Linked DNA regions of Macaca mulatta. The protein of the gene in region 1 purifies or fractionates together with the protein of each later gene. This does not show direct contact. Links are inferred from orthologs where the notes say so. Each region holds a gene or a part of one and is shown in the gene's direction. Other genes may lie near its edges. The genes, in order: MRGBP, BRD8, ACTL6A, EPC2, MBTD1, RUVBL1 and MEAF6.

What was found.
Region 2: the proteins of MRGBP (region 1) and BRD8 purify together in Homo sapiens (affinity purification with mass spectrometry; 10 studies listed by BioGRID and IntAct, counting the BioPlex papers as one, with this or other methods). This does not show direct contact. The link is inferred for Macaca mulatta from reciprocal best matches to the Homo sapiens genes MRGBP and BRD8.
Region 3: the proteins of MRGBP (region 1) and ACTL6A purify together in Homo sapiens (co-immunoprecipitation; 4 studies listed by BioGRID and IntAct, with this or other methods). This does not show direct contact. The link is inferred for Macaca mulatta from reciprocal best matches to the Homo sapiens genes MRGBP and ACTL6A.
Region 4: the proteins of MRGBP (region 1) and EPC2 purify together in Homo sapiens (co-immunoprecipitation; 4 studies listed by BioGRID and IntAct, counting the BioPlex papers as one, with this or other methods). This does not show direct contact. The link is inferred for Macaca mulatta from reciprocal best matches to the Homo sapiens genes MRGBP and EPC2.
Region 5: the proteins of MRGBP (region 1) and MBTD1 purify together in Homo sapiens (affinity purification with mass spectrometry; 4 studies listed by BioGRID and IntAct, counting the BioPlex papers as one, with this or other methods). This does not show direct contact. The link is inferred for Macaca mulatta from reciprocal best matches to the Homo sapiens genes MRGBP and MBTD1.
Region 6: the proteins of MRGBP (region 1) and RUVBL1 purify together in Homo sapiens (co-immunoprecipitation; 6 studies listed by BioGRID and IntAct, counting the BioPlex papers as one, with this or other methods). This does not show direct contact. The link is inferred for Macaca mulatta from reciprocal best matches to the Homo sapiens genes MRGBP and RUVBL1.
Region 7: the proteins of MRGBP (region 1) and MEAF6 purify together in Homo sapiens (co-immunoprecipitation; 4 studies listed by BioGRID and IntAct, counting the BioPlex papers as one, with this or other methods). This does not show direct contact. The link is inferred for Macaca mulatta from reciprocal best matches to the Homo sapiens genes MRGBP and MEAF6.

The regions. Positions count from the first base shown.
Region 1 is NC_133415.1:115,606,517-115,610,813, forward strand, and holds the start of MRGBP (MRG/MORF4L-binding protein), read left to right. Parts: upstream 1-1,497; 5' UTR 1,498-1,569; coding exon 1,570-1,717; intron 1,718-2,161; coding exon 2,162-2,283; intron 2,284-4,297.
Region 2 is NC_133411.1:147,033,002-147,037,027, reverse strand, and holds the start of BRD8 (bromodomain-containing protein 8), read left to right. Parts: upstream 1-1,226; 5' UTR 1,227-1,268; coding exon 1,269-1,287; intron 1,288-2,211; coding exon 2,212-2,308; intron 2,309-4,026. Other genes in the region: kinesin-like protein KIF20A, read right to left, coding at 42-206. UniProt on the Homo sapiens protein: May act as a coactivator during transcriptional activation by hormone-activated nuclear receptors (NR). Isoform 2 stimulates transcriptional activation by AR/DHTR, ESR1/NR3A1, RXRA/NR2B1 and THRB/ERBA2.
Region 3 is NC_133407.1:91,570,710-91,574,942, forward strand, and holds the start of ACTL6A (actin-like protein 6A), read left to right. Parts: upstream 1-1,433; 5' UTR 1,434-1,613; coding exon 1,614-1,638; intron 1,639-1,787; exon of another isoform or gene 1,788-2,162; intron 2,163-4,233.
Region 4 is NC_133417.1:53,760,105-53,763,604, forward strand, and holds part of EPC2 (enhancer of polycomb homolog 2), read left to right. Parts: intron 1-1,143; coding exon 1,144-1,335; intron 1,336-3,500. UniProt on the Homo sapiens protein: May play a role in transcription or DNA repair.
Region 5 is NC_133421.1:58,742,390-58,746,363, forward strand, and holds the start of MBTD1 (MBT domain-containing protein 1), read left to right. Parts: upstream 1-1,174; 5' UTR 1,175-1,360; coding exon of another isoform or gene 1,361-1,702; 5' UTR 1,703-2,029; coding exon 2,030-2,167; intron 2,168-2,204; exon of another isoform or gene 2,205-2,431; coding exon of another isoform or gene 2,432-2,452; intron 2,453-3,080; exon of another isoform or gene 3,081-3,773; intron 3,774-3,974. Other genes in the region: UTP18 (U3 small nucleolar RNA-associated protein 18 homolog), read right to left, coding at 1,361-1,702. UniProt on the Homo sapiens protein: Chromatin reader component of the NuA4 histone acetyltransferase complex, a multiprotein complex involved in transcriptional activation of select genes principally by acetylation of nucleosomal histones H4 and H2A.
Region 6 is NC_133407.1:155,874,757-155,878,256, forward strand, and holds part of RUVBL1 (ruvB-like 1), read left to right. Parts: intron 1-1,481; coding exon 1,482-1,545; intron 1,546-2,932; coding exon 2,933-3,131; intron 3,132-3,500. UniProt on the Homo sapiens protein: Possesses single-stranded DNA-stimulated ATPase and ATP-dependent DNA helicase (3' to 5') activity; hexamerization is thought to be critical for ATP hydrolysis and adjacent subunits in the ring-like structure contribute to the ATPase activity.
Region 7 is NC_133406.1:203,284,204-203,288,333, forward strand, and holds the start of MEAF6 (chromatin modification-related protein MEAF6), read left to right. Parts: upstream 1-1,330; 5' UTR 1,331-1,351; coding exon 1,352-1,441; intron 1,442-2,538; coding exon 2,539-2,654; intron 2,655-4,130.

The DNA.
Region 1 (4,297 bases):
GAGTTCGAGACCAGCCTGGCCAACATGGTGAAACCGCATCTCTACTAAAAATACAAAAATTAGCCGGCCGTAGTGAGGGCCTGTGGTCCCAGCTTCTCGGGAGTCTGTCGGGAGAATTGCTTGAACCCGAGAGGCAGAGGTTGCAGTGAGCCAAGATCGCGCCATTGCACCCCAGCCTGGGCAACAGAGCGAGACTCTGCCTCAGAAACAAAAAAGAAGCCGATCCCCATCCGCAGTGACTCGCGTTTCCCTCCCCCTCCCCCGTCCCCGGCAACTGTGCGTCTACTTTCTATTTCTATGGAGTTGCCAGTTCTGGCTCTTCCTGTGAATGGATTCCCATGCTGCGTATTTTGGTGTCTGAATTCTCTGACTTTCGTCTCAGCCCGCACCCACGCTGCCGCAGTCCGCGCTCGCGGCTTTTAGGCTGAACGCGGCTGCGCCGTGCGGGTGCCCGCGCTCCGTGCGCCCCTAGCCGGTTCAGCCCCGGTTGGGGGCGGCGCTAGCCTTGCGGCTGCGGATCCCAGCCTGAACCTGTGTCTTGTTCCACCGTTGCGGGCGCCCGCCACGGAGCTGCTGCCTCCTAGGGAGACGGTTCCATCGTTGAAGGAACGGCCGTTCTGTCTTTCGCAGCAGCGACTCCATCTGGCCCCACAGCACGACCGCACGAGGGTCCCGAGTCCGGATCCTCGCAGTACTCGCCACCCCGGCCGCGTAGTTGCGGCGGTCTCGGCGGGGAAGGGGGTCCCCACGCGGGCTGGTTCGCGTTTCGCGTGACCGATGGTGTTCATTGGCCATCTATACATCTTTTTTTTTCTTTTTCCCGAGTCGGAGTTTCTCTCTTGTTGCCCAAGCTGGATTGCAATGGCGCGATCTCCGCTCACTGCAACCTCCGCCTCTCGGGTTCAAGCGATTCTCCTGCCTCAGCCTCTCGAAGTAACGGGGATTACAGGCGCCCGCCACCACGGCCGGCTAATTTTTTTGTATTTTTAGTAGAGACGGGATTATGCCATGTTGGCCAGGCTGGTCTCGAATTCCTGACCTCAGATGATCCTCCCGCCTCGGCCTCCCAAAGTGCTGGGATTACAGGCGTGAGCCACCGCGCCCGGCCCATCTGTACATCTTCTTTGGAAAAATGTGTATCCAAATCCTTTGCCGTTTTATAGTTAGACTGTCTTTTTATTATAGAGTTATATTTATACCTTCTGCAAGGAAGTTCCTTATCAGATACAGGATTTGCAAATACTTTCTCCCAATCTGTGGGTCGTCTTTTCACTTTGCTGATGGTTTTCTTTGAAGCAAAAAAGTTTTCTGTTGTTGTTTGGGTGAAGTGTTAGAACACTTACTGTGCTTTAAAGAGGAACACGTTTTAAGCACCCCCGCACGGGGCGGAGCAGGGCGGAGTCCCCGGCGGGAAGGAACCCGAGGCCTCGGCTGCGCCTGCGCCGACGCCGGCGCGTGAGCCCGAGCTCGTGCCTGGCGGAGCGCGCGCCCGCCCCCGAGTGCGCCTGCGCGGAGCTCGTGGCCGCGCCTGCTCCCGCCGGGGGCTCCTTGCTCGGCCGGGCCGCGGCCATGGGAGAGGCCGAGGTGGGCGGCGGGGGCGCCGCAGGCGACAAGGGCCCAGGGGAGGCGGCCACCAGCCCGGCGGAGGAGACAGTGGTGTGGAGCCCCGAGGTGGAGGTGTGCCTCTTCCACGCCATGCTGGGCCACAAGCCCGTCGGTGAGCGCCCAGGCCGCGGACGCGCGTGGGGGCGGGGCGGGCAACCGGCGGGGCGGGGCGGGGCCTGCGCTCGCGACACCCGCGCCCCCACGCGCCCCGCCGAGCCCGGGCCGTGACACCCCCGCCACACCCGTCCCGGGACCCCCGCCCCCTCCCACGCGCCCTTCGGACCCCGCCCCGGACCCCGCCCCCGGCCCCTACCCCCGTGACACCGCGAGGCCCCAGCCCGCAGCGCCCCACCCCCACCTCTGCCCCGGGACGCCCCACCCCCTCCCACACACACCACCCAGCCCTGCCCCCCGACAGCCCCTCCGCACCCTGGCCCACCCCATCCCACCGCGGCCACCCTTGCCCCTCCAGTCCCCAGGGCACCCTGTCCCCTCCATCCCCTTTCTCCTTCTCCTCCCCTCTGACCGGTTGTCCCGCCGCCCCTCCTCCCCCCAGGTGTGAACCGACACTTCCACATGATTTGTATCCGGGACAAGTTCAGCCAGAACATCGGGCGGCAGGTCCCATCCAAGGTCATCTGGGACCACCTGAGCACCATGTACGACATGCAGGCACTGGTGAGCCCAACCACCCTCCCTGTGCTGCCCGATGGGGGCACGAACCCACACACCGCTGAGGGTCAGCCTGAGCTGGGCAGAGCAGAGGCCCCTCCATGCCTGCTGGGGTCTGCTGGGCAGAGCCCCCTGCAGTGAGACCCATCCTTAAGGAGGGCATCCCAGGGCTCCAGAGCCTGTCATGGAAAGCACAAACACAATGCTAGCAGCTGGCCAGCTTTTCAGGGGGCCTGCTTTAGACTGGGTGCTGGGCCAGAGCCTCCAGCTGAGACCCTGGGGAGGGAGGGAAGGATGCAGAGTCCCCAGGCCCTTAGGCCCTTGTCAGCCTCCCGGGATGCCCCAGAAGTGCTTTAGGCAGAGGGTGACCCTATCTGAGTCACACCAAGGTGAATTTGGTGGCTTCTGTGGGAGTCAGGCAAATAGAGTCCCAGTCCTCACAGAGCTTGGAGCTGGCAGTGTGTGACGGGCGAGCGCGTTAGCTAGGTAAGCAGGCTGGCCACAAGAGACAGGTGGGTGTTGCAGGCTCTGTGGCAGCAGGAGGTGGTGGGTCCAGGAGTTGAAAGAAGGTGGTGTGCTTGGAGAATGGGGTGGGGGTCAGGGGTCAGGTGACCAGGAGGAGTGGGGACCTGTGCTGGTGGAAGGAGAGTCTGTGCCAGCCACGCTGGACTCAGGGCCACACCAGCCCTTCCAGGAAGACATAGGGGCACCACTGAGGCAAGGAATGCTTGCCGTTGACATTGGTGGAGTGATGTGGGTCTCCTTGTCATAGCTGTAGAAAGGGGACAGAGATGCCAGCCGTGCAGGGGCCTGGCTGTCTGAGGAGAGGAAGGATGCTCAGCCCTAGAAATGCCCTGGAAGCTTAAGCCCCTGTTGCTGCCGCCTCGTGTGTTGAGGACGTTCTGAGCCAGTGCGGCATTTGCACTGGGTGACCAGTACCTAGTGGCCCAGACACAGCTGGCTACTAAGCTCACAAGGTCCTCCCTGGACCCGCTCCTCCCTAGAGCGTATCCATCAGCCATTGAACTCTGGTCACCACCCCTCAGGGTCAGAGGCCCCCTGTCACCAAACTCCCAGCAGCTTCTTGGTTGTGGGAGAGGGCGCTAGGTCCCCAGACACCTCCCACACCGGGATTTGGAGAGATCGGTGTAAATCTATGCCTGTCTCTGGGGAAGACAAACAGCTCCAAGGCCCATAATGTCCCCTGGGGCATGGGTGCTGGCTCAGATGAGCACAGCAGCCCACATGACACTCAGGAAGCCATGTGGGACCGCCAGGCCTTTCAGCCCTAGGACTGTGGCCCTGTTCCTTATTCCTGCAGTGGCCTATGACATCAGTAAGGACTGGGCAAGACCACAGGCTGGCACTTTCTCTGGACCATGACACTTCTGTGTGACTGAGATCTGAGTCTTTCAGACCTTATGAAATACAGAGCCCCTGGAGTACCCCCGAGAGGCTGACCAGCTGGCCCAGGAGATTTTGAGGAGCACAAATGTGGCCTGACTGCCTGTTCCATACAGCACCCAAACTGCCGAGTAGAAGCCCCTGTCTCCTGAATCGCCTCCCAGTCCAGGGCCCTTCCCGCCAGCTCCACTTTTCCCTGGCTCCCGGTCTCTCCCTCTGGTCTGTGTGACCTCAGGAGGGCAGTGCCTGGCAAGCACTCGGGTGGCCCTGCTCCATCTGCTCTTCTTCCTTGCCTGGTTCTGTGCCTGTGGCGCTCCCAACTGACACCCTCAGTGTCCATGGGTTCCTGCCATGTGGATGAGAACTCGAGGTGCCTGCGGCCTTTCCCCAGGGCTGTCACCGTGCCCTCTGCACACCGCCTTAGGGAACGCAGTCTCTTGGTGAGACCATAGGTCGTGGTGGGCAGGCAGGACCCACAGGTGTGCAGTCTCTTGGTGAGACCGTAGGTCGTGGTGGGCAGGCAGGACCCACAGGTGTGCAGTCTCTTGGTGAGACCGTAGGTCGTGGTGGGCAGGCAGGACCCACAGGTGTGCAGTCTCTTGGTGAGACCGTAGGC
Region 2 (4,026 bases), on another chromosome or scaffold:
GGATGTCACTTTCTGCCCCAGCCACTCCCCAGTTCCTTTACCTGCTGCTTGTCCTCTAGGGAGGTAGAGATGACAGAGCAGTCTGACAGCAGGTTCTTGCGTACCACAGACCCCAAATCTGCAGCTGTGGACTCAAACATGGGAGAGACTACGACATCGTCATCGGACAGCAAGCCCGCTGGCGGAGAAAGGATCCCTTGCGACATGACGGCAGGGGCAGCCTAGGTCTAAAAAGAGACCAAAAAGTGGGCAGGGAGAAGAACCTTTAGGGACAGAAGGGGCCGCGAATTTTAGGTAATAAGTCCCTTGCCCCAGGACACCGGGTCCCGCTCCCTACTTCCTTTCCCCTCTAATTATCGGCAAAGGGGAAGGGAATGAGAGAAGTTCACTTAATGAACAATCGAGAGAAGTTTGAGGTTGCATTTCTGAAAGCGAACAGAAGTCCACAGAAATCTGGCTCCAAAAGCAAAAGGCCAGGCCTAAAGTAGGGCACCTCGCCCGCCGGTGCTGTGGAGGTGGTGTCAGGATCCCTCGGCTCCTTTTCTAACCTCAAGGACCACCGTGAGAACAGAGATGCAGCATTAAGAGAAAAACAGATGGCTGCAGTTCCGATTTCTTAAAGCCTATTCCGCGTGGGCAAGAGCTGGTAACCCGGGCTCCAGCACAGCCGCACACTCACCCGAAGACGTGCCACTTGCTCCTCCTCGGGTACCGGCTCACTCACACCTAGTCGCCGAACCTGGACTTTCGCAGCCGGAGAGCACAACTCCGCCCACGAGGTGCAGCTTTGTTACCGATACAATATTTTAAATTACGCGCTGCGTTCGTTCGGCCAATGAGATAGGGAAGTCTGCAGCTACCAATCCGCGTAAGGAAAAGGGGCGGGTCCGACTGGAATTCCAGTAGTTTGCATCCGCTTGACCTCTCAGATCTAATGTGGGTCCGGGTTACCAACTGTCGCGGGTTAGGAGTTATTTCGCTTGGGATTCTTCCAGCTTAACCCTTTTTCTTGAACCTTAGACATTTCTTACCTAAGAACCCTAAAGGAAATCTTGAGGCTTCAGCCGCCAACCCCTGTCCTTCCTTAGCAAAAATCTTAAAAGGATTGCACAAGATAACTGGTTTAGGGTGCTTGCTTTGTCTTAGGGGAAAAAACGACATTTCCCAGGAGGCACCGCGAACCAACGCCGGTACTCTACTTCCCAGAATTCCAGGGTTTCGGCCCTACCAGACCGTCTCTCCTCAGGGTTGGAGACTTCGGGGCCAAGATGGCGACGGGAACGGGCAGTGAGTATCTGAGCAGGTTTTGCGTGAAAGGCGTTTGTAGATCCGAGGCTAGGCACCATATTTTTGTTACACGCTTAGGGAGTGGGAGAAGTGGTTTGCTTGAGAGCTCAGGGTTTTCAGAGACCTGCGCTCCACAGCATCGTGAAGACCAACGTTTGGGGGCCCAGAAATCTGGGGTCTTGTTTCTCAGGGAGGGAGCGGAGGTGTGAGAGAAGGAGCTTAGTGAATCCTAGTGTGTTAGGAGCCCTTCGGGGTAACCGTAAAAGCACTCTAGAAACTTGGGCGTGCAGACGAAAAGATGTTATGAGCCAGACGGAGTAACCGGCACCTCAAAGAGCCATTCATTTTTTGTTCGACGTTTGTGAGGCAGTGGAAGTGGGGCCTTTTAACCATGAGCTTTTCTTGCCACTCAGGAAATTGCATCTCGGGGATTTCAGCCATTTTTCTTTTAGTGGACTGAAAAGGTCTTTTAGGCCCGACATTTGGAGTAGAGGATCTGAGAGAAGTAAACAAGTTTATGCTAAGAGGGAGGCGGGGTTGTAGGAGGGGCTGGCCGCTCGGGTTCCTGGGAAATAAGCCCTGAATGAGTTCAAACTGGAATAAAGTCCAGTGTTCTTAAAACTGGGCTTTTAGGGAGAACTGCCTAATCTGACATTCCCAATTTTTTAATAAAGCGGAGCTTCAAGCCGTGGCGTTTTAAGAAATAAAATGTTAATAATTCACATGCAACAAATTGGTACCACGGTCACTGGTGATACTTCACTTGGAGAGGTGAAAATCAAGATTTGGTGATAGTAGCTCACTTTGTCCTAACAAGTTGGAATATTTTGTATTAGGCTTTTAGTCCCCTTTTTGGGGATTTTGGAGCTTAGCACTACAGTCTCAGTGGTTGCTTCCAAGGCTTTTTTTTTTTTCGTTTCCCAGAACACAAGCTGCTGAGTACTGGCCCCACAGAGCCATGGTCCATCCGAGAGAAGCTGTGTTTAGCATCTTCTGTCATGAGAAGTGGAGATCAAAATTGGTAAGCTATCTAGGATGTCAGCTTTTCTGGGTCTTAGAAATTGTTAGATACTCTTTCACATTGATAGATTTCTGTAGTTAATCATATTAAGCTGTAAGTAGACTTTTTCTTCTTCCCTTTTTTTTTTTTTTTTTTTTTTGAGACAGTCTCCTTCTCTCGCCCAGGCTGGAATGCAGTGGTGCAGCCACGCCCAGCTAATTTTTTTAGTTTTTAGTAGAGACAGAGTTTCGCCATGTTGGCCAGGCTGGTCTCGAACTCCTGACCTCAGGTGATCCACTGGCCTCAGCCTCCCAAAGTGCTAGGATTACAGGCGTAAGCCACTGCGCCTGGCCATGCCTGGCTAATTTTGTATTTTTAGTAGAGACAAGGTTTCACCATGTTGGCCACGCTGGTCTCAATCACCTGACCTCATGATCTGCCCGCCTCGGCCTCCGAAAGTGCTGGGATTACAGGCGTGAGCCACTGCTGCCGGCCTTTTTTTTTTTTTTTGAGACAGGGTTGCACTTTGTGGCCCAGGCTGGAGTGCAGTGGTGTGATCTTGGCTCACTGCAACCTCCATGTCTGAGGCTCAAGTGATCCTCCCACCTCAGCCTCTTTAGTAGCTGGGACTACAGGTGCACACCACCATGCCCAGATAATTTTTTGTATTTTTTTGTAGAGATAGGGGTTTCATCATGTTTCCTAGGCTGGTCTTGAACTCCTGGGTTCAAGCGATCTGCCCACCTCAACCTCCCAACCTACTGGGATTACGGGTGTGAGCCACCAGGCCAGCTGTATTTTTTTTTTTAAACAGCTTTATTGAGATATAATTCACATACTATAAAATTAACTTACTTAAGATGTACAATATAATGGTTTTTAGTATATTCACAGTTGTGCAGCCATTACCACAATCTAATTTTAGAACATTTTCTTTATTTTTATTTTTTTTATTTTTTATTTTTTGAGGCTCTTGCTTTGTTGCCCAGGCTGGAGTGCAGTGGCGCAATCTTGGCTCACTGCAAGTTCCGCCTCCTGGGTTCATGCCATTCTCCTGCCTTAGCCTCTCGAATATCTGGGACTACAGGCGCCCGCCACCACGCTCAGCCTATTTTTTTTTATTTTTAGTAGAGACGGGCTTTCACCATGTCAGCCAGGGTGGTCTTGATCTCCTGACCTCGTGATCAGCCCACCTCGGCCTCCCAAAGTGCTGGGATTACAGGAGTGAGCCACCGCATCTGGCTGACATAACGCTTTTAAGGTTCATTCTTATATAGCAGGTATCAATACTTAATTCCTTTTTTAGCTGAATAATAATCTGTTATATGAATATACCAAATTTTGTTTATCCATCGCTTGATAGACAATTGGGTTGTTTCCACTTTTTGACCATTATGAATAATGCTGATGATACGCACATTTGTGTACAAGGTTGTGGACAATGTTTTTAATTCTCTTGAGTTTTTTATTCAAGGAGTGAAATTGCTGGGTTATGTAGTAACTCTATTATGTTCGCTTTTTTTTTTTTGCAGACAGGGTCTCACTGTCACCCAGGCTGGAGTGCAGTGGTGCAATCTTGGTTCACTGCAACCTCTGCCTCCTGGGCTCAAGTGATTCTCCGGCCTCAGCCTCCTGAGTAGCTGGGACTACAGGCACATGCCATCATCCCCGGCTCATTTTTGTATTTTTTGGTAGGGATGGGGTTTTGCCATGTTGCCCAGGCTGGACTTTTTTTTTTT
Region 3 (4,233 bases), on another chromosome or scaffold:
TCCCATTTCCGACGCGTCACTTACCTTCGATTCTGACGCGGCAGGTTCCCGCGGTGATCGGAGGAGTTTAACTTCTTTTGTCTTTGTTAACGATCGACCGGTCTTTCGCGTCCTCTTCCTCACGGAGTCCCTCGTTTCCAGGCCCCACGTTTGGGCGCCACGAGTCCCGGCCCACGGGATTGTCAAAGCAGGCCCTGGAAGAGGGGGTGGGAATTTGGGGAACAAGAGACACGAGAAATGGAGACAAGACAGTATCCTGATCAAGTCTCGTTTAATGGCGGTAATGCAATGCCTTATATACATTTGGAGGGGAAGGGGTTGGGCTAAGGCGGAAATTACCTAAAAAAGGAAGGCGTGGCCAGATAAGCCTCGGTTTCTCCGGTCGGACGTCATGTTGCGCCTGCGCAGTCAGGTAGTCTTGTCCCAGGCGCGGGAAAAAAGAATGAAAAAGAAGCAGGAAGAGCGCCATCTTTTAATGGCGGTATTAATACAGGGAAGAAGGTAAATCTAGGGAGAAGATGTGGGGTGGAAATGAATATAGCTCAGGCATTTAATCTTTAATGATTATTCACTATGGCCGGGCGTGCAGCTCCGGACACTTCACCTCCTGGGTTCAAGCGATTCTCCTGCCTCAGCCTCCCAAGTAGCTGGGACTACAGGTGTGTGCCACCACGCCCAGCTAATTTTCGTATTTTTAGTAGAGACGGGGTTTCACTGTGTTGACCAGGCTGGTCTCGAACTCCTGACCTCGTGATCTACCCGCCTCGGCCTCCCAAAGTGCTGGGATTACACGGGTGAGCCACCACACCCGGCCTGAAATTTTTTTTTTTTTTTTAAGAAATTGATTTTTTAAATCGTTTTTAAAGCGCTACCTAGGTTTAGCTGGGATAATGCATCATTTCATTCTTCTTTTACTTATTAATAACCATTTTAAAAATTACAAGATCCTATCAATTTGTCTGATTTACTGATTCCCCTATCCCAAAGTGGAGCGCAAAATTTTTATTTCTTCAACCTAAAGTTAGTTTAAAATACTTTTTCTGAAGAAAAAAAGAAAGAAATCCACATTGCCCACAGTCACTGGACAGGAATCTCAGCGTGGAGACACACGTTCAATTTCCAGAAGTCTACCTTCCCCTACCCAGGTTCCCGCAGCTCCTCAGCGCCCAGCCGCACCTCTTACGCCCCTCCCATGCTTCCCTCCAGCCTTCCTCCTTCTTCTCCCACTGCCTCCGCCCACTCTCTCGCCCACCCGGGAAGCTCCGCCCGCTTCAGCTCCGCAACCCAACTCCTTCTGTCCGGCTGTCGCTTTCCTCTTTCCCCGCCCCCATGGCTGCCTTCGATTGGCTAAACCTGCTGGGCCGCGGCGGGGATGCGGCGCAGCCGCATTCTGATTGACTAAACGTAGGCCTGGACCCTCGTGATTGGCTGATAGGAGGAGACAGCAAGTGTAGCTGAGCTCCGGGGTGTGTGGACGCCGCTTTGTTGCCTGAGGGGGGTGGCGGTGGAAGTTAAGGGAGTCAGGGGCTATCGCTTCTCGGGACTCGCAGTCGCGGCCACTGCAGTCACTTCTCCAGTTAGCCCTTAGGGTAGGGGTCGCGCCGGCAGCAGCCATGAGCGGCGGCGTGTACGGGGGAGGTGAGTGAGTGCGGCCGGAGGAGAGAGCGCGCGTTTTCGGCGTGTGGGGTTTGTAACCGCCGCTCCCAGCCCTCCCCTCCTCGGCGTTCCCTTCCGGTTTCCCCCTCTCGGGACCCCGGCCTCCCCGCCCCATCCCCGCCCCACGCTCTGCCCGCCCCCGGAGCCCACCAGGCTCGGCCAGCGCCTCGGGCGCCCTGGAGTGGCGGCTCTCTGTGGCCGGTTCCTGCCTCTGCCCCCGGAGAAGCAGGGTTTTGGGATGCACGCTCGTTTCTCTAGAGAGCCTCGGGGCTGGGCGGGAAGCTCAGTCCAGCCGGCCGCCGGGCCCCGGGTTGCGTTACCGCCCCAGGGTCGCATCTCCACGAGTGCCTCCTGGACTCGGCTGTGTCGGGGCGCATGTGCTCGCGCCTAAACTTGGAAGGTCCCGGCGGTTTGCAAGCGTGGACGGAGGGTTCCCAGAGCGTCTCACAGGTGGCAATGCGAGCCTCAAGCCGTAGAACTGACTAGGGAAGCGGCGGCCACTTAGGGTACTGCCTCCTCCCTGTCTGTGCCCCATGCGCGAGCTGCCTCACCTTTCAGTAACTCCTGCCTGTTTGTTGGCTGCGGAGTCTCCAGAGTGACTCGTGGGCGGGTCTGTTTGAGATTAATTCAGGAGCACGTGTAGTTTAAGGATGCCCAGAAAGTTTGCCGGGGGTCCTAGGCGTCTTGTTTTTTCACTTATCCTTGATTAGACTGGTGTGGCAGAAAGATTACCAGGTGCGGGGGGTTACAGACCTGAGTTGAAATATCCGCCTCACTGTTGAGCGCTTTGGTCTTAGGCAATTTACATAATTTTCCAACTTCAGGCCTCATTTGTGGAATAATTCCTAGCCAATGGGGATGGGCGTAAAGGTTAAATGAAATAATGCTACATTTGCCACTTAAAGTCTGGTCCATGGACCAGCAGTGTCAGCATCACCTGCAAGCCTCTTAGAAATGCAGAATCTCACGCGTCATTCAAAATCTACTGATTTAGAGCCTCCATTTTTGCAAGATCTGCAGGTGAATCAAAACACTGATACATATAATTAATGTTTTGGGTTGTGTTTGATGAGTTAGAGACCCAGAAAACAAATCCAGACTATTGCTATTGTTGCTGTGTCTAGTAGTGATGCTGTTTCTATAAAGGATGTCATTTTACAGGTAAGATACAACAAAAATAAGATTTTTCCTTCATGTTCCCCAAGAAAATCACATCACCCCTAAACTTGGAAGGAGAAAAACATTTAAATCCTCAAAAAAGAAAAAAAGCCTTTTTAGTAGAATAGAGGTTCAATTCTTTTTTTTTTTTTTTTTTTTTTGAGACGGAGTCTCGCTCTGTCGCCCGGGCTGGAGTGGGCTGGAGTGCAGTGGCCGGGTTTACGTCATTCTCCTGCCTCAGCCTCCCGAGTAGCTGGGACTACAGGCACCCGCCACCTCGCCTGGCTAGTTTTTCTGTATTTTTTAGTAGAGACGGGGTTTCACCGTGTTAGCCAGGATGGCCTCGATCTCCTGACCTCGTGATCCGCCCGTCTCGGCCTCCCAAAGTGCTGAGATTACAGGCTTGAGCCCCCGCGCCCGGCCGAGGTTCAATTCTTGAGGATTTTTATACACTAGAAATTGCATCCTAGGTTTTAAACATCCAGAACTCTGTGGTTCTTTCTACTAAGCCTCCTGCCTCCCATTGCCACTCTCCTACTTAGGGTTCATGGGGCTTGATTTTTAATGAAGCAGGGTACAGGAATTAGATGTATCTCCCATCCTGAAAAAGGAACAGATGTAAAATTCTAAGAATTTAGAGTCTTAAATTAAACTTCCACCATATCCAGTTTACTAATTAGGGCAGGAAAATGAGCTGATATGTTGGATTTTTTTCTATTTCACAAAAATGTTTTTTGAGCACTATGTGGCAGGTATAGGCTGTTGTCATCAAGAAGTTCAGTCTTGTAGATGAATCCGTTAGGTAAATAGACACCATATTTCACCGATTCTTAATTGTACATTTTTCCCACATTTAAACAGCTGAAGTTGGAATATGTCTTTTGTTTGTTTGTTTGTTTTTAATAGAGACGGGTCTTGAACTCCTGAGCTCAGGCAGTCCTCCCGCCTCAGCCTCCCAAAGTGCTAGGATTACAGGTTTGAGCCACTGCCCCCAGCCGGAATATGTCTCAGTAGTGCTGGCCTGGCAGAGTTTTAATTGCCATATTATTTTCTTAGTGATGCCGGAAATAGTGGTGCATCATGTAGTTGATAGCATCTTATATTGATCAGAAATGGTAACTGTAATTCAATGAGAGCTGTTCATTGATAACAATATGTAGAAGGGGCCAGGTGCGGTGGCTCACACCTGTAATCCCAACAACTTGGGAGGCTGAGGCGGGCGGATCACTTGAGGCCAGGAGTTCAAGATCAACCTGGCCAACATGACAAAACCCTGTCTCTACTAAAAATACAAAAATTAGCCAGGCATGGTGGCACATGCCTGGAGTCCCAGCTACTGGGGAGGCTGAGGCACAAGAATCACTTGAACCCGGAACTGCACTCCAGCCTGGGTGACAGAGCAGGACTGTATCCTAAAAA
Region 4 (3,500 bases), on another chromosome or scaffold:
TGTGTTAATCAGTGCTTTTCCTAGGTATGTGATTGTTAAGCATTGCAGTATGAAAATCTTAACCCATAATTACTGACAGAATCAGCCTTTATTAGATATTGATTCTCATTTTAGACTTCCTCTATGAATAAATACTCAGCCTTCCTAAATACTAACTTTAGGAATTTGGTTGCATCCATTGTTGTCCTACTCCATTACACATAGTTAACTATATTTACTTTGTCATGTATTCCACTTGAAAATGTGGGAAGTTTCTGAAAGTTGGGGCTTTGTTTTTGATGTAATAGTTATGCCCATTATATGAAAAATTTTATATCTCACTAAATATAATTTGCCTTTCAAACAATATTTTTATTGTGTGTACTGTTTTTGACCCTAAAGTAGTTAACATCTGGACTAGATGTGGAAAAGTATAAGTTTTGTAGTTTGTACCTTGGTGCTTGGAACAGTCTTTTCCAACTTTTAAAGTGGCAGATCCCTTTTTATTAAAAGGAATGCCAGTATGTTAAAACAGTAACAGAGCTGCTCTGTTGAGGGGAGGTAGGGGCACTACCCCTTCAGTGAGTGTCTTTGCCAGATGGCCTCTCAGGAACCTCCACAGAAGCCTGCGGGACTTCAGAACAGTTACTGTTCGGTTGCTGCAGTAATTATACATTCTAAAAAGTGAGGGGTTTTTTTTCCTAGTTAAGCTTATTTTTCTCAAAAGATTTACATCCATAGAACACACATTTTAAAAAATTGGATCTAAGTGTAGAAATGACAATAAACTCATGATCCAGTTGAAGAAACTTAAAAATAGTGATTAATTTTTATCAGTGCAGCAGATTTAAATAAAAATTGAATTTAAATACCTTTTAAATACTGGATTACATAATAGAGCAATCCAAAAAATTCCTCACATAGTTTAAAGTAGTAATAATAATGTAAAAAGCAAATTTAAATACCATAATTATTTTTCATCATAAGTTGCAGAAAGTAAAACATGTTTCAATTTATGAACACAGAATAATTTTTGCATATTAAAAATAATAAAATCACCTCCTGGGTAAAAATGTATGTTTTTCAAAGAGCAGTATAGTTTTTCATGATTTCTAAAATGATTTTTATTTCTTCCTTTTGGGGGAAAAATCGTCATGTAAACAGCACCCTCATCATTTGTCTTTGAAAGAAGAGGCTTCTGATGTGGTTCGTCAAAAGAAGAAGTACCCAAAGAAGCCTAAAGCAGAGGCTTTGATAACATCTCAGCAACCCACTCCAGAGACATTGCCTGTGATCAATAAGAGTGACATTAAGCAATATGACTTTCACAGCTCAGATGAAGATGAATTTCCACAGGTGCTTGTTTTAAAACTATTTTAAAGATATTTCCTGCTAGTATTTTGTATTGTTATATTTTTAAAGCAATTGCTATCTTAGAGTTTTTATTCTTGCTTTGTTCCCCTAATGTATGTAGCATAAACATTTCCACATTATTTATGTAGCCACTGAAATGGTATTTACTCTGTATTATCTTTCATCAGTTGTATAGAATTTACTCTCTTGTGGAGCACATGGTTTTCAGTTTTTCCATTTATAAAAATGAACTTAGATCTTTTCCCTCTGTATTTAAAATAGATTCTTAGTAATTGAATTACTAGTTACTAACCAAAAATTATCAATATTTTAAGACAGTTAATATATAATTGTAAATATTGAAAATATCAACAATACTTTCCTTTTTACCACACTCCACCAGCATTGTGTTTTATAACTTTTAATGCAAATTTTGCTAATTTGTTAGGTAATGGCTGTTTGATTTTAAAAAAGACTTAAAGGGACTGATTCAGATTTTAACTCTTTGATAAATATTGCAACAGCTTTATAGAAAAATGTGCACAATTAAAAAATATTTATTTTTATAAGTGCTGTTTTTAAAATAAGACTTTTACTTTATATATTAAAAGATCCGGCCGGGCGCGGTGGCTCACGCCTGTAATCCTAGCACTTTGGTAGGCCAAGGCGGGCAGATCACAAGGTCAGGAGATCGAGACCATCCTGGCTATCACAGTGAAACCCCGTCTCTACTAAAAATACAAAAAATTAGCCAGGCATGGTGGCGGGTGCCTGTAGTCCCAGCTACTCAGGAGGCTGAGGTAGGAGAATGGCGTGCGCCCGGGAGGCAGAGCTTGCAGTGAGCTGAGATCGTGCTACTGTACTCCAATCTGGGCGACAGAGCAAGACTCTGTCTCAAAAAAACAAACAAACAAAAAGAAAGATCCATTTTTTCAAAAAATATTGTGTATCACCTGCTCTAGCAATACCATCTTTTTAAAAATAGCATAGGAAACTTAACAGAAAATACTGTAACAAAGACCTTGAACCTACTGCCAGCTTTATCATATTTTAACTTTTTGACTTGTTTGCTTTAAGGAAACTTTTTTTAAAAAACCAACATTATAGATATGTTTGAAAGCAGGACTGTTTATAAAACTCTTCATTGCTATAACCATTTAAAATCTGGAGTTTGCATAAAATGTGTCCCTTTTGGCTGGATTATACTAGTTTTACTCTTTTTTTTCACTGATTAGTTTTTCTACCCAGATAATATTCTGATAGTCATGAATAGTATCAAATGTGCAAAGATATGCTTAATTTTATTCCTTGAGGAGTGCTTAATGAACCCATATATTACTTTTGTCAGAGGATCATCTAGTTTGACTCAGGCAGAGCTTTGAACAGCCATGGGACATTCATCAGATGACCAGTTTGAAGGAATGAGGGATATAGTGCCTTACAAAAGAGTAATTTTCAAGATAGAAAGTATAGGGAAGGGTTCTAGGCACAACATACTAGAGGGAACTCCTAGCAGTTTAGCATTGCTGGAGCACATAACATAGAAGAGGAAGAGGGGATGAAAGGCTTGATGCCTGCAGTAATACCCAGATGTCAGATAGCCTCTATCTACATTATACATAATGGGAAATTATTTAAAATGTTAAGTAAGAAAATGACATAGTTAGATAACTGTATGTAAAATAGGCTTTTATTGGTGGTACTAATGAGAGCCTAGAAAGTTTTGCTATATATTCCCAGCCCTTTAAGAATGATGCTGCAGCCGGGCGCGGTGGCTCACGCCTGTAATCCCAGCACTTTGGGAGGCCGAGATGGGCGGATCACGAGGTCAGGAGATCGAGACCATCCTGACTAACACGGTGAAACCCCGTCTCTACTAAAAATACAAAAATTAGCCGGGCGCGGTGGCGGGCGCCTGTAGTCCCAGCCACACGGGAGGCTGAGGCAGGAGAATGGCGTGAACCCGGGAGGCGGAGCTTGCAGTGAGTGGAGATCGCGCCACTGCACTCCAGCCTGGGAGACAGAGGGAGACTCCATCTCAAAAAAATAAATAAATAAATAAATAAAAAAGAATGATGCTGCAGACTGGGCATTGTGGCTCACGCCTGTAATCCCAGCACTTTGGGAAGCCAAAGCAGGTGGATTGCTTGAGCCCAGGACTTGGAGAC
Region 5 (3,974 bases), on another chromosome or scaffold:
ACGGTGAAACCCCGTCTCTACTAAAAAAATACAAAAAACTAGCCGGGCGCGGTGGCAGGCGCCTATAGTCCCAGCTACTCGGGAGGCTGAGGCAGGAGAATGGCGTAAACCCGGGAAGCGGAGCTTGCAGTGAGCTGAGATCTGGCCACTGCACTCCAGCCTGGGCGACAGAGCGAGACTCCGTCTCAAAAAAAAAAAAAAAAACCTAAACCATAGAATACCCCTTGAAGTGAGTTTGAGCTTCCCAAAACCACAGGACAGAAATGTCCAAGTGGTTTCTACTTGCTCTACTACCAGTCTAATAAACAGACTTCAAACCCAACAGCTCCCACCTCAGTACACTCTTCCTTTTCCAGACGACAAAACTGTCACAAAGTTCAGTTTCCAGTAGCAGTTCTGTACTTCCCAAATAGATTGCTGCCACTTCTCCCACAAGCACCCGAAGGAGGCTCTGGTAAGCAGCTGACATTAGATGGGTCAGCATTTGTGTAAGAAACATGGACTGGGTAATGTTCGGTGCGCTTTCCTCCGCCCCCTATCTAAAATTTCACAGGCCTCCTCTAGACACGCTCATCTCCCTTTACCGTATGTCCTTTTTTCTCTTCAGCACTTGTCACCAACAAACCTGAAGTTTACCGGTTTATCTCATCTATCTTGTCTCTGCCACTAGCATACAAGCTCCAAGAGGCAGGGATTTTTGTCAGTTTTGTCCATTGCTGTGTCTCCTCCAGTGCCTAGAACAATGTCTGGGACTCTCAAGAAAAGCCTGGTATAGAATTAAATGGATAGCAAAATGTGTGCAAAAAGTATGATGAATCACGCAGGGTTTGCCATTGCCAGAGAGGGTATCTGGCAACCAACAGGTTCCCCAATATTTGCTAAATGAACGAAATTCACGATCATTCTCAAAATCCTGTGGGTCTCACAGTCACTTGGGGAGATAGTTACAACGCAGATGCCCAGGCCCGTGCCCACGAATTGATTCCATCAACGAAATGGAATTCCTAGATCACAAGGAACTGAGGCAGGTGATCAAAAGACCACATTGTTTGGGGAGAGGCTAGCGGAGCCGAGCAGCGGCGAAAGATGCTCACTACCACAGTTCGCAAAGCAGATACCCGAGCAGCGGCGCCTCCGGGGGCGGAGAAAGGCGCGGTCCCCGCCCTCCAGACACTTTCAGTCTGGAGCAGGGAGGCGAAGGACCCGCAGCTGCGACCCTCGGCGCCCGCGTTCTCAGGCTCCCTCCCACCTGAGCGCTCCCCGCCGCCGCAGGTCGCCCAGGCTCCGCCCCCCAGAGCTTCACCGCCCACCGCGCGCCCCGCCCGAGCGCGCCCAGCCCGCGCGCCGCGGCCTCCCTCACCCGCGGGCCCCGCAGACGCCGCAGCAGAGCGTCCTCGTCGTTCTCGACGTCGCCGAAGACCAGCTCCTCCAAGCACCGCTCCACGGCCGGTTTGTCCTCCTCCAGCGTCAGGCGGTTCCGCTGCCGGAGCCGTCTCTCCTCCTCCGCCGCCGCGACTGCAATCGCAGCGGCCGCAGCGCTCGGCCGGGCCGGCGGTTTCCGCTGGGATGAAGGGGCAGGCTTTTGGGGAGGCCGGCCTGGCCCTGCTCCGGCTTTCCAGTCCGGCCTCGTTCCGGGCTTCCGTTTCGGCTTCGCTCCGGTTCTCCGGTCCAGTTTCATTCGTCTCCTCCGTTCCGGCGGCATCGTTAGGTTTGAGGAGAAACGCAGGCGCTCACGTGGAACCTCGCTGCGCATGCGCCCAGGCACCTCCCTGGCCGCCGCCGCCGAAGCCCCTGGGGCCGGAAGGAGCCTGCGCAGCCTCTTGCCACGTGACCCGCACTCCCTCCCTCTACGTAACTCTCACTCCCCTACCCAGCCCCGCCCCGTGTGGGAGTTCCTCCGGGAGGGCCAATCTTCCGGGTGTAGGGGGAAGCGGCGTGACTGGAGTGGAAAATTTTTCCAACACAACTTCGCAGCTGCAACATATTGAAAGGAGCGCAAGAAAGCCCGAGTATACACTCGGACAGCTGAATGAAACTTCTGCTTTTCCTGTTGACTTTAACCAGTGGATTTAACACAAGCTCCAATGCGCTTTCCACCTCTCGTCTTGGTACGGTCCTTGGAGTACGGAGCCTGCAGAGGGTCCCACGCTGGAAGCGAGTGAGGAGGGTATGTAGGGAAGTGGGCCAATCGGGGCGCGGGTCACGGCGCAGGCGCGCTGGGGAGGGAGGGCTATGCTAATGTTGTTGATATCCTGGGGCCACCCGAGTTAAAGGGGGGAAATCCGGGGGCTGCCGCAGCCGCCACCGGTCTGGGCCCAGCCGGGGGCCCTCTGTAGTCGCCGCAGTCCCGGGGAGAGGCACCTGCCCCCAGCCCGGGGAGGGGGCGCCGCGGGCTCGGGGAGCACGGACAACCCCTACCCATGAGGCCCTGATGGAAAACACAAAGGATCTGGTGAGAGCCGAGCGCGGCAGCCGCTTTGTGTGCCAGGTGGGGGGGACGCCTGCAGCTCCCCGACCCCAGGAACCCCGCAGCTCCCTGACCCTGCTCCCTGGCCTGCTTCTCCATCCCACGCCCCCTCAATCTCCGGAGCCCCCCCTCCCCCTTCCAGCCGTTAAACGATTCAGGGGTTCCCCTCCCCCCACCCCGTCAGCCCTGGACTCGTTGGGGTTCTCTCCATCTCCTCCACCCTCTAGAAGAAAAATTCGAGAAGAAAGTTTTTCTCTGCGTCCTGCCCCCGCCCCCTGCTCTGGCTAGGGGGGAAAGGCTGGATCCGAGACTTTTCCTTTTTTAGCCACCCAGGGTGGGAGAGTGGAGTAGTCCTCTCTTCTTCGCGGGGAGGGAGAGCATAGTTTTGGTGCTTTGCAGGGGTAGGAGTCTGTCCGGCTTGGGGCCAGTGCCGCGAGGCGGTTTGCACGTGGAGGTGGAAATATTGAAAGGGGGCGGGGTGGGCACGTGCGGGAGAGGTGGGAGTGGTGTTTGGGAAGCAGCCTCCAAGGCTGCGTATTTAAAAGGGTTTCAAGTCGGTGGGCTTCTATGACCATTGCGTTCTCCTTTGTGAAATAAGAATCCTAACATTTCAGAGTCGGAAGAGACATTAGAGGTCATCTAAAGCAGCCGTCCCCTCTGCAGCCTCTCTGACAAGGGGTAGGTAGTCTGACCCCTGCTTAAACCCCTAAAAGCACTGAGCGCTCACTACTGCCCTGGAAAGCCCATTTTTCAGTAGTTCTAATTGTTGTCTGCCTACCCTTGTTAGACCCTTCAGTCTCTCATTCATGTCCTGGTTAAGTTGCTCCTTTTTTTACTTCTCAAATTTTCTCTCACATCCTCCTCACCCACCCACTGCTCATTGGCCTATATTTTGTGTGCCAGGAAAGAACAGCAGGGAAGTGGAGGAAGGGGGGGTTGAGAGATAGTGAGGGCCAGCCGAAAACTTTGCTGGGTCAGTGTCAAATGTGCTGCCTTACATGCCTGAAGGTGTTTTTTCTACAGGAAGCTAAATAATTACAATATGGGAATTTCATGCCTGTTTTCTCTCACGAGTGCATCTTTTTGAAGTCAGAAATTTCAGCGTCATCTCCGTGGTTCTTGTATCGCAAAACACATTTGCGGATTACCTAAATCACTTCTCCTAAGGATGTCTAAAACTGTTAGGGATGGTACTGAAGCATCACCTGATAGAGGGATGATTAGATGATTACCGCCCCCACCCATTTGACCTGTGTTCCTCGGGAGCTAGTCTTTCCTCCAGGGGTCCCTCTTCCAAATGCTTTTACTCCTTTTTTTTAAGTAACTATCTTTTATGAGATTTGAAATTTATGGACCATTTTAATACTTGTTTAGAGTTTACAATATTTTTAATTCTCCTTACACTAGCATACACCAGTACTTATCCCTGGCTGGTTGAGATAGGTCAGTTGAAACTATTGTCACTGGGTGTTTCTTTAACATTCATCCTTCATTTGGTGAGCTGTGC
Region 6 (3,500 bases), on another chromosome or scaffold:
CTCCAGCAGTGGGCTCACGCCTGGGATTCTCTGGGTGTTAATGGCAGGAGGGCAGGAGTGTTCTGTGAGCCCGTTACAGGATTTCAGAAAGCCTGACAAAGCTCTTTCTTTCCCCCTGCTTAGCAAAAGCCACAGTGTTTTAGCTTTGAGCTGGTACTGTTGTCTGCTTCTCATGCAGATGGATACTTATGCCTTGACTAGTAAAATGTAGGAAAGGATGTTATCACTTTACAGCATTTGTAGGAAATATGTGATTAAAAGAAACAAGACACCACTGTTTCTTGTGATGGTCTTGCAGTTTGGTTTCCTCTTCATCCTAAAAAAGACCTCTTCACTATTAGGGAATAGTTTGTTTTCTGACTTGAAATTTGATCCGTGGGTGTTTTGTTCCTTGGAGCTTTGGTCAAGAGATTACTGAAGACTTATTTTGGAGCAACAGGTCCCCTCGGTTGGTGAAGTGGCCATCCGCAAACTGAACTCCTGGGAGCCCTTGACCTGAGAAGAGTGTTGGGCTGGGAGTCAGAAGTCAGGAACTGTGTTGCTCCATCACTGACCAGCTTGGTTAATTTGTCACTTTGGGTCTCTGGGTTTTCTGTGGTTTAGGGTTCTGATTTTGAGTTTTCTCCTACCTGGCAAGGCAGTTTTGAGGACCAGACAGGAAACATTTGCTGCCTTTAGCTATTCAGCATTTAGTGAGCACCTCTGTGTCTCAGGGCCTGGTAACTAACAGGTGATCACTAAATGCTGAACAAATGACCAAACACCAGCCTCTTCCTCTTGCTGACTGCACTCTTAGGAGCCCATAGGAGGATGCAGGTGAGTGGTGAACCTGTTATGGAGTCAGCCATTCCACAGGGAGGGGCCCATAGACTGAGTAGCTCTAGGTTAAGTAAGGACTAGGCTGATGCAAGCCTGTGGTCAAATCTAGTGAGAGGAGGCACAGCAGTATAATCATGGTATATTTATACTTACTCTTTATACTTACTCTTGTAGTCCGTGTGTCCCCAAAGGCACAGAAACATTGGGAGGAAGTCATGAGTCTGGTTAGGGTCAAATGCCCCCTAGAGGGCATTTGACTTGAACTTTAATGACTGGGAACTTCCTAGGAAGGAGAATGGCATTCCTGGCAGATGGAATAGACTCAAAAGCATCGAGTCATAAAAGAGCTTGCGGGTGTCCAGGGCAGGGCTGGTAGTCTCATGTGGCTAATCAAGGAACAAGGGATTGGAAAAAGATAGGGCTGGAGAAGGAGGCTGGGCAGGCCCCACGGAGCTTATACTTACCATGAAAGGATTTTGTTTGATTCTTACAGGTCAAGGGAACCTCTAAAAATTCCTCTGTGTTTAGAAGCTCCTCAGGCTTTGAGGAGGGGTCTCCTTACCTCAGGATCCCATGTTGAGTTGATGAGTGGGATGCAGGGGGATGAGGCTTCTGTAGTCACCTTACAAAGCAGCACTGACTCTAAGTCTTCTCTTATGCAGGGGGGACAAGATATCCTGTCCATGATGGGCCAGCTAATGAAGCCAAAGAAGACAGAAATCACAGGTAGGAGAACCAGCGTGGCCTGCGAGCAAGGGGCAGGGTGGAGGGCCCTACATTCTGAGATGCCCTTGCGGCTCTGTGAGCACATCCACCCTGAGAAAATGCCTCAGAACAGTTCCTTCTTCCTCATAGTTCAGAGCTTGACTCTAGCCTTAGTCTCTGGCATTATTTAGGCAGCCATACAGCAAGCACACTGTGTGGTCTCTGCCCCACTGCAGTCACAGTTTCTGGTCCCTATGAGGCCCCAGAAATGTGGATTTATTTCGCCCAGCTCTGCCCGAGCACAGACTCTGGAGCCTTGGTGCTGTCAGCCCCTCCCTAGTAGAGCACAGGGCAGCTTCACAGACCAGCTCCACGCACTGCCCTGCCCAGTTCGTGGGCTCTTCCTAGAGCTCCACAGGGGACACTGCTGCTGCTCTCCTGTGAACCTTTATTTTACCCTGCGGCTCTTCCCAGCTTTCCTGTTGCTGTTTTTTTCTAATTCTACCTACAATTTCGTCACTTTAAGATGTTAGTTAAACATTAAAGCAAATATTATCTTTAAAGTTTTAGCCAGGGCAGCAATCTGAGACCTTTCTGTTTGAGTTGTCAGGAGCAGTTTCTTTCTTTTCACATGATTTTCAGTGTGCATCCTCTTCGGACAATCCCGGCCTTGTGCCTTTGGTGGAAGACGCTGCCTCAGATCTTCCAGTTTTCTGTTTGTGAGCTGCTCCCTCCTGACAATAACACAGGAGCTGGTTTGGAAAATGAGCACTGAGACCTTAGCTGGGTTATGTAACTTTTGAGAGACTCATCCCTCTAGGAGCTCTGAGATTGGGCCTTTCTTCAGAGCCTTTCATTCCTCGAAGGTTTCTGCTCGGGATTCTAAAAGCACCCACTTCCTTATTCCAGGCACTTGATTGAAAGTTAATTAACCTAAGCATTGTTGTATGGGACCAAAAGAAAGGGTCATTTACTGAGTATAGAATAGGAAAATTTGCATGTGAAAACTCATTTCACTCAGGGCTCCTAAACTCCAGTGTCTCCCAGATCAGACAGAGCTACACTGGGTGTGTGGGAGGTGATAAGGCATGGTAGGGAGTGTGACAGCAGTGAGCATGTGCTGTGAAGGGATTCCCATGCAGAACACCCGTGCTACCTTTTTACATTTAACCAAACACATCTTTTGGGGGAGGCTACCAATTTTGTGACCTTTAGGTGTGATTATCACTGTGTTCAGATGATGACACTGAAGCCTGGAGTGGGGGGACACACCCTGTCAGGGATCACATAGCTAGTAGGAAAACTAGGCTCCCAGCATGGGTTTGGATTGAATTCAGGTGGAGGAGAAAAGGCGATAGTCTCTCCCAGCCCTGTGCTGACCTTGCCTGCCGATCCTTGCATCTCCTAGACAAACTTCGAGGGGAGATTAATAAGGTGGTGAACAAGTACATCGACCAGGGCATTGCTGAGCTGGTCCCGGGTGTGCTGTTTGTTGATGAGGTCCACATGCTGGACATTGAGTGCTTCACCTACCTGCACCGCGCTCTGGAGTCTTCTATCGCCCCCATCGTCATCTTTGCATCCAACCGAGGCAACTGTGTCATCAGGTAGGATGGCTGCCTGCCAGCCACAAGGCTTTTTTACCTTCCAGCTGGGCTCGTTTGTTCCTCAGGATCTCGCTAAACCCCACGAGGTGGAATGGGGATGAGGGGAGGTCACGTTGTTTTTGAAGGAAAACGTGCCAAGTGGCTTGCCTCTGGTCTCATTTCCCTAGTCACCAAAGGCAGCAGCTGCCCTTTCACTCATGATGAGGGTCTCCCATGTGATCTCTGGGGTGTGATACTACAATCTGGTCATTCAATTGGCGTGCACAAAGGTGAGATCAGACAGGGCTAGCCTTTGGTGACATTATACACATGAACGTCTTCAGGCTTCACCTGCACTCTGAGAGGTAGGCATTATTGACATCATTTTTC
Region 7 (4,130 bases), on another chromosome or scaffold:
CCCATTTGCAGATGAAATTATCTATGTAAAAAATTCCAAGGAATCTATACAAAACCCCCCTAAAATTAGTAAGGAAGTTCAGCAAGATGGCAGGTTACAAGATCCGCACACGAAACCAGTTATTCAGAATGCAGCACAGAGGGACAAAAAGATAGAAAATATAGACGGTAGGTTAAAAATAAAGGTTTCTTATGTTCGAGTTCCAGAAAGAGAGAGAATATGAGACAGGCATCTGAAGAAAAATGACTGCGATTTCCCAAAACTGGTGGAAGATACCAACCCACAGATTATAGAAATCCAAAGACTTCCAAGCAAGAAACAAAACAAAAAGAAAAAATATCCCACTTAGACTTATGATAGCGAAATTGCAGAAGAGTGAAAGATGGAGAGCTGAGGAGGGAGAAATCAACAGGGGCCAAGTGAAAACAACGTCTACACCTTGGACTTAACGATAAAAGCGAATTCGTACTTGCAGAGTCATTGGCACCTGCCAAACCCCTTACACACATTAGCTGATTTACTCCTCACAGCAACTGTATTAAGTAGATTCTATCACTGCTTTCATTTTACAGATGAGGGAGTTGAGATTTGGTTATTTACCCAAAGGGGCACACTTTATCGATGTAGCGATAGGATTTTGAACAAGGTAGTTCTCGCTCCAGTTTTGTGCCCTTAACCACTACACATACTTGTTTCTCCAAAGGGCAATGGGAAAATGGGAAGCCACTGAAAGGCTTTAAACAGGGGAGTGATAACATTTGTTTCTGGAAGATTCCGGCACCACTGTGGATAGTGGATTAAATGGGGCTAAAGGTGGAAATAAAGAAGCTGTTGGAATAACGTAGCCCCAAACAGGGAGGGCCTGAATGAACTAAGAAGGTGGCAAAAGGCGCAGGCACAAGCAAATGGATTCGCGAGCTCTTCCGGAGTCGAATCCACAGGGCTTGACCTGGTATCGCGTTTTACTCCGGGTGCAGAGTGAGGAAAACCGGGTTTCTGACGCAGGCAATTGCGGTGGATAGTGAAAGTCATTCACTGAAGTGGACTGAGGCGGGACGCACAGGAGACTCGGAGGCCTGAGGACGAGCTAGGCTTTGGACACGGTAGATTTGTGGCGTCTGTAAAGCCCGCGGCCAGCCGAGGGGCAGGAAACGGCGTAAAGGGCAGAGCAGAAGCCGACTCTCTGGACCTCTCCGAGAAGGATCGTCCAGAGTCCCGGCCGCAGAGCACCTCTGCGCGGCGCTGCACGCGTCTCCGGAAGCCGCGCGCGCAGGCGCAGTGCGGGGGGCGCCCCCTGGCGGCGCAGGGACCGCCCCCAACCTCGCGCCGCCGCCGCCCGCCTCAGCCCAACATGGCGATGCACAACAAGGCGGCGCCGCCGCAGATCCCGGACACCCGGCGGGAGCTGGCGGAGCTCGTGAAGCGGAAGCAGGAGTTGGCGGTGAGGGGCTAGGACCGGGGTTGCCCGGCATGGGGCTCCGCGCCCGCCCCGCCTCCAGGCCCCAAGCCCGGCTGCGCCAGGCCGTTCGTTACTCCGGGGGCGCGGCGCGGCGGGCTGTGTGCTCGGCGGCCTGAGGCCGGGTGCGCATTCTGCGGCCCGCCGGCGGTTCAGCTTCCCGGCTGTGCGAATCCGGAGCCGGGAGGGAGCTGGGAGCGCGGGAGGGGGAGGGGCAGCGGCAGCCGCAGGAGGGGGCGTGGAGGGAGGACGGTGCCGGGGCTCGGGACTCGGGGAGAGGGCGCTAGGAAGGGCGAGGCGGGCGAGTCCGTGATCTTTGCGGGGTGGGGGTGGGGTAGGAGGCTAGTGTGGGAGGGGGACCGAGTCACCCTGTCTGGACTTTGGAGGATGGTGGGGAGCGTGTTCTTTTTGGTACTAGTAGTAGATCCGTTGAATGGAGGCTTTTGATAGACAGGGTTGTGATGTGTTTGGGAATATCTAGAAGGTGACAGGCGAGGGAGAAGAACACATTCTGGAGAATTCGGAATTGTGACAGGCACCCAAGGCCCAATGCACCCTGGTGGCTAAGCTCTTCCTGCCCTCACGTCTCGGCTTGGGCACCCCGGAGGCCCCTCTCACCTGAAGCTGCCCTTCCAGGTTTCCATAGCAACTGGCAGCCCGGTGCCGGCGGCCTCTCTGAGCCTGCGGGGAGGGGAGCGAGTTGACGCTGAAAGGCTGCTCACCCTTCCCTCTCCTGGTAGCGATACCTTTTGTGCGTGGGAGTGGATATCGCACAAGTTCTGCGTTAGCCTGGGTTCTTGACTCCTGGTTTCCGTGAATCCTCTAAAGTATATGCAAAATTTCGCGTGTGTGTGTATTTTTCTGGGGACATGCTTTATACATTCAGAGGTCCATCACACCCAAAGGTCTAGACTGTCTTAGTCCTAAACGGCTGCTCCTCCCCATATCATCCATCTCTCCACAGGGTGATTTAGTGTGGACAAGCTTGCGTTTACAAATCTAATATCAGGATTTCATTTTGGTCAGACTTAAGTGTTTGCATTTAAAAGGCATTATTCATGTCCTTGTTTTTCATCTCTCAGGAAACACTGGCAAACTTGGAGCGACAGATCTATGCTTTTGAGGGAAGCTACCTGGAAGACACTCAGATGTATGGCAATATTATTCGTGGCTGGGATCGGTATCTGACCAACCAAAAGTGAGTGTCGAAAGCCTGTAGTGTTCCTATTGTGTTCCTATTGTGTGTGTTTGTAGGACTGTAGGCTCTTAGTAGCAAGTTTGCTAGAGGCAGTAGTAAAGTGGTGGTGTGGTCTGGACTTGAACTCTTGGACTCTGGCTCAGGCACTGCCTCACTGAATAATCTTAGACAAAGCTCACATCTGTAAAATAGCAAAAGTTGGGCCTTTGGCACAGGGTTGTGTGAGGCTTAAATACAGCATATAACAATATCTTTATACAACATCACTCTATTAAATTTTTTACACATTTTAATCAGTCGTGAGTTCTACCCTCACAGTATTTTTCTTTTCTTTTTTTCTTTTTCCTCCTGAGTAGCTGGGATTACAGGCGCATGCCACCATGGCTGGCTAATTTTTTTATTTTTAGTAGAGACGAGGTTTCTCCATGTTGGCCCAGCTGGTCTTGAACTCCTGACCTCAGGTGATCTGCTGCCTTGGCCTCCCAAAGTGCTGGGATTATAGGTGTGAGCCACCATGCCTGGCCACTTTTCTTTTTTCTAAGAGACAGGGTCTCATGCTGTTGTCCAGGCTGGAGTGCAGTAGCACAATCTTAGCTCACTGCAGCCTCAAACTCCCGGGCTGAAATGATCCTCCCACCTCAGCCTCTCAATTAGCTGGGACTACAGGCACACAATACTGCACCTGACTAATTAAAAACATTTTTTTTTTTTGTAGAAGTGGGGTCTCACTTTGTTGCCCAGGCAGGCCTGGAACTCCTGGTTTCAAGCAGTCCTCCTGCCTCAGGTTCTCAAAGTGTTGGAATTAAAGGGGTGAGCCACCACGCCCAACTGACCCTCACAATTTTTGCCATACCTGTGTGCCAGCTGTACCACTGCTTGCTTAGTAATATTTTTAAAAAATTTCTAAACTTTTGGATTATCTTCAAGTTATAGAAAAATGGGAAGAATAGTATATGAACACTTGATACTGTCCTACCTGTATTCAGATTGTTAATGTGTTGTGACATTTGCTTTCTCTTACTCTCTATAATATTAATATAAGCACACACCTATATTTACATTTCACGTTTTTAAATTGTGAAATAATTATAGATTCATAGGGAGTTGGCAGAATGGTCTTTTGTAGTCTTCATCTAGTTTTCCCCAATAGGTGTTTTTTTTTTTTTTTTTTTTTTTTTTTTTTGAGACGGAGTCTCACGCTGTTTCCCAGGCTGGAGTGCAGTGGCGCGATCTCGGCTCACTGCAAGCTCCGCCTCCCGGGTTCCCGCCATTCTCCTGCCTCAGCCTCCTGAGTAGCTGGGACTACAGGCACCCGCCACCGCGCCTGGCTAATTTTTTGTATTTTTAGTAGAGACGGGGTTTCACTGTGGTCTCGATCTCCTGACCTTGTGATCCGCCCGCCTCGGCCTCCCAAAGTGCTGGGATTACAGGCTTGAGCCACCGCGCCCGGCCAATAGGTGTGTTTTATATAACTCT